Xenopus tropicalis: one gene and its partner. The protein of the gene in region 1 interacts with the protein of each later gene in a biochemical or structural test. Links are inferred from orthologs where the notes say so. Each region holds a gene or a part of one and is shown in the gene's direction. Other genes may lie near its edges.

Region 1 (4,589 bases):
TTGCCTTTCAGTATTAAATCCCAAAATGGGTATTAGAACAAAGGGATGAAATAGCATCCAATTCCCTTGAGCATAACCCCTTGGTCAGCTTTAGTTCAACATATTGGCTTATATGAACCATACTTTCTGCTTATTGTTTTAATAATGAAAATTAGTTTTTAGCCCTGTTTAATTCAAGAATAAACAAAAACCATAGATTGTTCCTGTTTAATACAATAAACAAAAAGCATATAGAGCCCAAGTCCCATTCATTGTACTCATGTTGAACAAGAGGGTTTACTGCACCATTAATATATTGATAAATCCAGAATAAAAATGTTGTAAACTTGTCCCTGAAAACTTTCCACTTAATATGAATATTAATCCGTGATCATCAATTTTTATTATCATGTATATATTATGGTAGGGTCATACTATAACCTGTAATATGAACTAGTTATTTATTTATCTTTGTTATTGAATATTTGATCCTTGTCCAGGAGGCTGGCAACCACCCAGAGGATATGGACGTGGAGATGATGTCAAGCACATCTCCACCAGAAAAAACCAAACACAAGTCTGCTTCTCCTAATCATCACCAACTTGCTGTGCCAGCCACATCAAACCAGTGCAACAATGCCAACCTACCTTCACCGGTGGATAGTCCTTACAAAGCTGAAAAGAATGGACATCCAAAAGACAGTACAAAGCCTGCCAAAGTTTTTGAAATTCAGACAATGCCTAATGGGAAAACACGGACCTCCATTAAAACAATGAGCAAGAGAAAGCTTTCGCAACATAAGGAAAAAAAAGCTACACAAATGTTAGCCATTGTATTGGGTAGGTATCCACTTTATTGTGAAAATTAAAGTCATATTTAAACAATAATTGCATGAAGTTCCTCTGAAAGGATAATTAAAACTTAATTTTAATATGTTTTAATTTGTACCAAATTGTGCCTAATTAAACATCATATCTGCTCTTTTATCTTTATATCTCATGCTTCATAACATAAGTACAACTATGACAGATCATTTTTTAAACTTATATTGTTCATCTATATGTTTGGTTTGATCAAACTTGCCAAACATCTCCCCATATTATTACTTATTCACATATTTTTCACATTATGACATGTGGTCAAAATCTGTTTTGGATTTAATAGATTCTGATCAGCTTTGCTATAAAATTATCAATATCATTTATTTATATAGCACCAGAAAGTTACACAACACTTTGGGGCACATTTACTAACCCACGAACGGGCCGAATGCGTCCGATTGCGTTTTTTTCGTAATGATCGGTATTTTGCGATTTTTTCGGAAAATTGACGCGACTTTTTCGTTACCAATACGATTTTTGCGAAAAAACGCGAGTTTTTCGTAGCCATTCCGAAAGTTGCGATTTTTTCGTAGCGTTAAAACTTGCGCAAAAAGTTGCGATTTTTTCATAGTGTTAAAACTTGCGCGAAACGTCGCGCCTTTTAAGTTTTAACGCTACGAAAAAAGCGCAACTTTTCACGCAAGTTTTAACGCTACGAAAAAATCGCAACTTTCGGAATGTCTACGAAAAAGTCGCGTTTTTTCGCGCAAATCGTATTGGTAACGAAAAAGTCGCGATAATTTCCAAAAGGTCGTAAAGGCGCCGAAAAAATCGCAAAAAATACGAAAAAGTCGCAAAATGTTCGTTTTCAAATCGGATTTTTCCAATTCGGACTCGGATTCGACCCATAGTAAATGTGCCCCTACGTATTCCTTTCTAACAGACAGTTGTGAATAGTTAAAAATATAACTAGAGTTACAGAGCACAAAGGAGCACAAAGCACAGGAGGCCCCTACTCACAGTCTAAATTGGGTACATTTGAAAAATAAAGAAGATAAAAATAATAGGTGAATTATGATAAGTTGATGTCTTATCAGTCAGGATGCATTGAATATGCGTCTTTAAATTGGTGGGTCTTTTGAAGTTTTTGAAAGTTTGGAAGGATGGGGAGAATCTAAAAACAGACAGAGGATTCCAGGGACAGGCAGAAGCCCGATAAATATACAGCAGCAGATGTGAAGTTGTGATAGATAAATTAATCTAGCAGCAGGTTTAAGATCAGGTTGGAGTTGTGAAACACAATATTGGAATGCCTGCAAGGAGTAAGAAATAGTAAGAAATGATGTCTAGGAAGAGTAGCAGTAGTCAAGGTAGGAAATAATAAGAAGTGTTTAGTTGTATCTGAGCTGAGGTAAGGTTGCATGCAAGCAATGTTGTGGTACAGGGGAATATGTTGGAGGAAAAATAATAAGACTCCATAGCAATTGACACTGTCACATTGAGATAGAGATAGCAAAAAGGCATTCTGTATCTTGAGAAAAGACAGAAGGAGACAAATCAGGAGTTTACAGGTAGATTTGGGTGTCATCAGCATAAAGGTGATACTAAAGTCCAAATGACTAAGTTTTCTAGAGAAGTGAAAAAATCAGAGGCCTAAGAAACAGCCTTAAGAAACTCCAACAAAGACAGGTAATCATGTGAAAGTAAAGTTGGAGAGAGCAACTTTAAGGCTATTGTCCCACAGATCGAGTTTTCGTGAAATTTACTCCTGCAGCCAGACTTTGATGTGACTCCTATTGTTGCCTAGATTTTGGAGTGGTTAGGTGCCTGCGGTAGCAGAGATCACAGGTGACAAACTCGCTCCATGGGACATTAGCCTAAAGGAACAATTAGAATGATCGGATTTAAACCATGAGTAGAAACCAGCTGAGTAGAAAATGTCTAGGAGGAGTGGGTAAACAACATTACATGTTTATGGTCATAAGCTGCATGGGTTTTTCCAAATGTATTCATGTTTAATTGCCTTTACCGTCAATTGTGCCTTTCTACTTATGTTACCAATTTTCCCTAACTTATAGGACTAGACCTGCCCATGCATCATAAAATGCTTTGTTGTTCAATATGTAAAGATGCAAAATCTCAGCATACATTTTACTAACTACCCCAGTGATTTAACAACAGCGGCACTAATGAGATTTCAGTGGTACTTATTAGAACAACCAATTACAAATCAGCTCTTTTGAGTTAAACTTTGGTATCTGTATTGTAACTATTATAGTTATAATTATTATTTTGTCTTGCAGGTGTTTTCATTATTTGCTGGCTTCCTTTCTTCATAATTCACATACTAAATATGCATTGCAATTGTAACATTCCACAAGCCTTGTACAGCGCCTTCACTTGGCTTGGTTATGTGAACAGTGCTGTCAATCCAATTATCTATACTACATTTAATGTGGAGTTCAGAAAGGCCTTCATTAAAATACTTCATTGTTAAAAGACAAGATAGAAGAATAATGCAGTAATCAATAACAAGAAGATACAAGACACAGAAGAAACAAGCACGTCCTGGGTTCCCTTGGACTGGTGAAAATGGTGCTTTGTGAGCAATTATAGCAGCTGAATGCTGTTATGTGGAGAGGTCTGTAAAAGGGTCAAGCTGATGTAACTAAAACATAGTACTGCATTTTAAGCAATTGTTTTGGAATGGGGGATAAGAGTTCTTACCAACAAGCAACATTAAGAAGAAAATCAATTTCAACTGAATTCAGCCATCAATAATGACCTTACTTAATGGTTTCAGGACACTGTATGTCACTGCAGTCTCACCAAAGACGTTGCTATTTTTTGCTATTCCTCTTTTTCATAGCAGAAAAGTTACGATTTGCAGGGACAACACTGTGAATACCAGTGAAACTATATATTTTTCTGGAAACTGAACACCCTACACACTTCTGGTTGTGTGCCTTGGGTTTCTATGGAAGTGATGTTAACGTAAGCTTTCTTAATCATTTGACCCAAAAGAGTAAAAATCAACACAAGACAACAATGTTGAGGCAGCCTTATGCTTACAAGTGTAAATATAGCAAGAATAATTTGAAAGAAGCCCAAGCAAAAAAGTATATATATATATATATTATATAGAAAAATAAAATCTGTACTGCATGGTGTGTGTTACATTAAAGGACTACCATTGTCACACCATATCTATACCGTTGGGATTTAATACTAAACACCTTTTACAATCATTTCTTCTTTGTCCTACTTTTACATGTATGGTACAGTAAGATACAATATCGCTGAGATGTTAACCATAGCACCAGTGCAGTATATCACAGAGGTTTTCTACATCAAGTTGAAGTTGTTGCCTATTTATTTTAAAACTATACTTTTCAATTTCAAATGCTACAGACAGGGCTGTATTTAGGTTTGGTGCCACCCTAGGCACTGGAAATAAATATGCGCCTATGTTGCAAAAGTGAAATCACGCATAGCGTGTACGTGACATCCCTTCCTGTGCCGTGTGACATCACTTCCGCAGTGTGTTTGCCAGTCTTGCCACTATTTACTCCACATTTTTCTCAATCAAATAATTCTCAGTAAAGTTATGGAAGCCTGAAATGATCCAAAAACCAGATAGCCCAAATTCCCATAGCCCCAGGTGTATGTACTACATAGATAAAAAGGCAACATATAGCCCCTTCCAAAGCTGCTTCCAAAGGACTCCAGACCTATACTGGTGTGTGGGTTGCACACATTTACATGGATTTTTGCTTACCAAATCATAT
Region 2 (4,394 bases), on another chromosome or scaffold:
GGGACTACCACCCAAGGTGCCCCCGCTATCTGCCCAACTCGCTCCCCCGAGCATGTGTACATTATACTTGGACTGGGGGGCACAAGGCCCACCGGGACTACCGCCCAAGGTGCCCCTGCTATCCGCCCAACTCGCTCCCCGAGCATGTGTACATTATACTTGGACTGGGGGGCACAAGGCCCACCGGGACTACCGCCCAAGGTGCCCCTGCTATCCGCCCAACTCGCTCCCCGAGCATGTGTACATTATACTTGGACTGGGGGGGGCACAAGGCCCACCGGGGGTACCACCCAAGGTGCCCCCGCTATCCACCCAACTCGCTCCCCCGAGCATGTGTACATTATACTTGGACTGGGGGGGGCACAAGGCCCACCGGGGGTACCACCCAAGGTGCCCCCGCTATCCACCCAACTCGCTCCCCCGAGCATGTGTACATTATACTTGGACTGGGGGGGGCACAAGGCCCACCGGGACTACCACCCAAGGTGCCCCCGCTATCCACCCAACTCGCTCCCCTGAGCATGTGTGCATTTTACTTGGACTGGGGGGTGCAGGGCCCACCAAGGCTCCCACCCCAGGGGCCCTGCAGGTGCCCCCACCGGCACGTCCCCTAACCCCCCCCACCCCCACAGGGGCCCCCCCTAACCCCCGCAGGGGGGTGGGGAGGTTAGGGGACATGGGATGAGGGGGCCCCCCCTCTTGCCCCAGGGGCCCTGCAGGTGCCCCCGCCGGCACATACCCTAACCCCCCCACCCCCAGTCCTCCCCTGAGCGCATGTAAGTTTAACGCTTCAGGGGAGGACCGGTCAGGCAGGGGGAGCGCCAGCGAGGGTGGAGTCTTGGCCGCCGGGGGCCCCCTGGGATTTTTCCCGGTTACCCGGCGGCCCAGTCAAACCCTGGGGATCACCATATGGATCAGGTCTGGGTCAGGTTTTTTCCCAGTACCCCACCAGCCCAGTCTGACCCTGCGGTGTCCCGCCAGCCTAGTCCAACCCTGGCTGCCAGCCTGGCACCCTGAGGTGCCAAGGGTCTGTGTGCCAATGTGCCAGAGGCTAATAAGGGGCCTGGGGCATTAATATTTCCAGCAGAGATACAGACATAACAGGGAGGTTCTTGGGGGAAGGATAGGAGGATGGCTGCATTATCTGCAAAGGAGAAGAATGGAGTGAGGGGGGGGATAGAAAATAAATTAATGGGGAGTGAGTGTGTCATGAGGAGAAGGGGCGGAGCGCAGGCTGTAATGCTCCCGGGCAGCCAGTGAATGGAAGGCACGGAGAGGAGGAGCGCAAAGTAACTAGGGACAACCACAGAAGCACACGGAGGGAGGCAGCGGGCAGTAGGCACCGAGCTCCCCAGCCAACACGGCTGAGACAGCCCCTCACTCGCACACAGCGGGCTCAGCCTAGGCCTGGGAACCCCACAGGCACAACTGCCGCCTCCAGCTCCATCCATTCTGCCGTGGGGGGGGGGGCGACAGAGAGTGAAAGCGGAGCTGCAGCGCGTCAGGCACACCGTACCTTCCCTTCCACCCCCCGTTTCCCCCTAGTGCGCCCTTCTCACACCTATATATACACCCCGGTTACCTGCACCGAGAGGGGCCCCGTCCTAAGGCTCAGGCGGCTGCTGGGGGAGTTGATTCCATGAATTAACCCCATAAGGGGGCGGAGGAGGTGGAAAGACTTCGCGAACAATGGGGAAATCCAACAGCAAGCTGAAGCCTGAGGTGGTGGAGGAGCTGACCAGGAAAACCTACTGTGAGTACAGCACTGGGGGGGGGCAAATGTGCTACTGGGGGGGCAGGAATGCTCTGGTAACTCCCATTGTTCTTATAGCAGCTGCTCTAATCAGCCTGTGGATCATCAGCTGTTGCAGTGCTATTATTGCCCGCAGAGCATGCTGGGAGTTTCAGGGTTTTAATGATCAGGCATACTTGCCAGCTGAGCATGCTGGGAGTTTCATGGGTATAATGATCAGGCATACATGCCAGCTGAGCATGCTGGGAGTTTCAGGGATTTAATAATCAGACATACTTGCCAGCTGAGCATGCTGGGAGTTTCAGGGTTTTAATGATCAGGCATACTTGCCAGCTGAGCATGCTGGGAGTTTCAGGGGTATAATGATCAGGCATACATGCCAGCTGAGCATGCTGGGAGTTTCAGGGTTTTAATGATCAGGCATACTTGCCAGCTGAGCATGCTGGGAGTTTCAGGGGTATAATGATCAGGCATACATGCCAGCTGAGCATGCTGGGAGTTTCAGGGATTTAATAATCAGACATACTTGCCAGCTGAGCATGCTGGGAGTTTCAGGGGTATAATGATCAGACATACTTGCCAGCTGAGCATGCTGGGAGTTTCAGGGGTATAATGATCAGACATACTTGCCAGCTGAGCATGCTGGGAGTTTCAGGGATTTAATGATCAGACATACTTGCCAGCTGAGCATGCTGGGAGTTTCAGGGTTTTAATGATCAGGCATACATGCCAGCTGAGCATGCTGGGAGTTTCAGGGTTTTGATGATCAGGCATACATGCCAGCTGAGCATGCTGGGAGTTTCAGGGATTTAATGATCAGACATACTTGCCAGCTGAGCATGCTGGGAGTTTCAGGGTTTTAATAATCAGGCAAACTTGCCAGCTGAGCATGCTGGGAGTTTCAGGGTTTTGATGATCAGGCATAAATGCCAGCTGAGCATGCTGGGAGTTTCAGGGGTATAATGATCAGGCATACTTGCCAGCTGAGCATGCTGGGAGTTTCAGGGGTATAATGATCAGGCATACATGCCAGCTGAGCATGCTGGGAGTTTCAGGGGTATAATGATCAGGCATACTTGCCAGCTGAGCATGCTGGGAGTTTCAGGGGTTTAATAATCAGGCAAACTTGCCAGCTGAGCATGCTGGGAGTTTCAGGGTTTTAATGATCAGGCATACATGCCAGCTGAGCATGCTGGGACTGCACTTTCAGGGGTATAATGATCAGGCATACTTGCCAGCTGAGCATGCTGGGAGTTTCAGGGGTATAATCAGGCATACTTGCCAGCTGAGCATGCTGGGAGTTTCAGGGGTATAATGATCAGGCATACTTGCCAGCTGAGCATGCTGGGAGTTTCAGGGGTATAATGATCAGGCATACTTGCCAGCTGAGCATGCTGGGAGCTGTATTTCTGCATGGACCAGCTGTAGCCTTTACCTAGCCTTTAGGTTGGGGGGGATCTGTGGTGGGGCCACTGGTGTGAGTGTAACCTTGGCTAGCAGGGAAATCTGGGAGCTGCAGTTAAGCAATTTCAGGCTGATCCTGGGAGTGTTACAGCACAATGCATACTTCTGCTCTATGGTTGCTGGGCGTTGGAAGTCTCTGTTACCTGCTACCAACCTTAGCTACCACGTGCGTATGTTTATCCTTCAGCATTTGGCTTGCAGAGGCTGCTGGGTATTGCCAGTCCTGCCCCTGGCACACAGTGTCAGATATAGCTGCTTATATGATTGACTGGAATGCTGGGAGTTGTATTTCTGACCGAAAGACAACCAAACAAAAAGGCATGCCAAGATGAGCGCTAAGGGTGCTGGGAGTTGTAGTTCAGCCGTAGCTGGATGGTATGGACTTGCCTGCCACTGATCTGAGTGCTTTGCTGCTGCTTCACTGCAGTGAATACAGGGCCCCTTATTGTAAAGGGACTTGGTGCAGTGGAACTGAGGGTGAAATGTAGCCAGGGGCCCCTCAGCAAAGTGTATTTCTGGGCCCCACCCTACCCATGACCCCCTCTGCTGTCTCACACCCCCTGCACCTGGAGAAGGGGGGGGGGGGGCAGCACCCAGAGTGTGTGTTAATCTAGTCACATGGTGCAGCTGTGCTAGACACCCCGGGGCAACACTTTTCTGTCAATTGGATGATTGCCTGAATTGTCTTCAAGTGTTGCCTCTGTCATGTATAATTTATTATATCGGGCAGGAGGAATATATATATATGTAATATAGCTGGTCCCTTCGCAGACTTAAAGGGGAACTACCACTGATAAATCTTTTTCTCTAACAAAGAATTAGCCATAATGTTGGGCACCCCTCCAGTGGGGCAAACCACTTAGCTTGTGCTTAAAAATAGCATCACCCTGGGGTACTTTATTCTGGGGTGGCATGTTGGATCCATTTCCTAGGTAGCCCATGGGCCATATAGTAAACTGCCTGGAGGTTCTATACTCAGGGTGGCACAGGGGTAAGTGGGAAATGCATAGGGACCTCTGAATGAGGTGTACGGCCCTGACTAGCCAAAGGTATTAGCCAATGAGATCTGTTAAGACAAGCCTTTCTTTATTGGTGATATTCAGTGTCCTGGCCGTGCATCTGTTTCCCCCTCTGCTGGAATAGATACACAAAGCCCCCCCCCACCGCTTTTGGAGGC

Evidence for each region.
Region 2: the proteins of drd2 (region 1) and ncs1 form a complex in vitro, tested with the Homo sapiens proteins (2 studies listed by BioGRID, with this or other methods). The link is inferred for Xenopus tropicalis from reciprocal best matches to the Homo sapiens genes DRD2 and NCS1.

Annotation. Positions count from the first base shown.
Region 1 is NC_030683.2:86,294,891-86,299,479, forward strand, and holds the end of drd2 (D(2) dopamine receptor), read left to right. Parts: intron 1-479; coding exon 480-819; intron 820-3,104; coding exon 3,105-3,298; 3' UTR 3,299-4,049; downstream 4,050-4,589. UniProt on the Homo sapiens protein: Dopamine receptor whose activity is mediated by G proteins which inhibit adenylyl cyclase. Positively regulates postnatal regression of retinal hyaloid vessels via suppression of VEGFR2/KDR activity, downstream of OPN5.
Region 2 is NC_030684.2:13,239,083-13,243,476, reverse strand, and holds the start of ncs1 (neuronal calcium sensor 1), read left to right. Parts: upstream 1-1,342; 5' UTR 1,343-1,689; coding exon 1,690-1,753; intron 1,754-4,394. UniProt on the Homo sapiens protein: Neuronal calcium sensor, regulator of G protein-coupled receptor phosphorylation in a calcium dependent manner. Directly regulates GRK1 (RHOK), but not GRK2 to GRK5. Can substitute for calmodulin. Stimulates PI4KB kinase activity.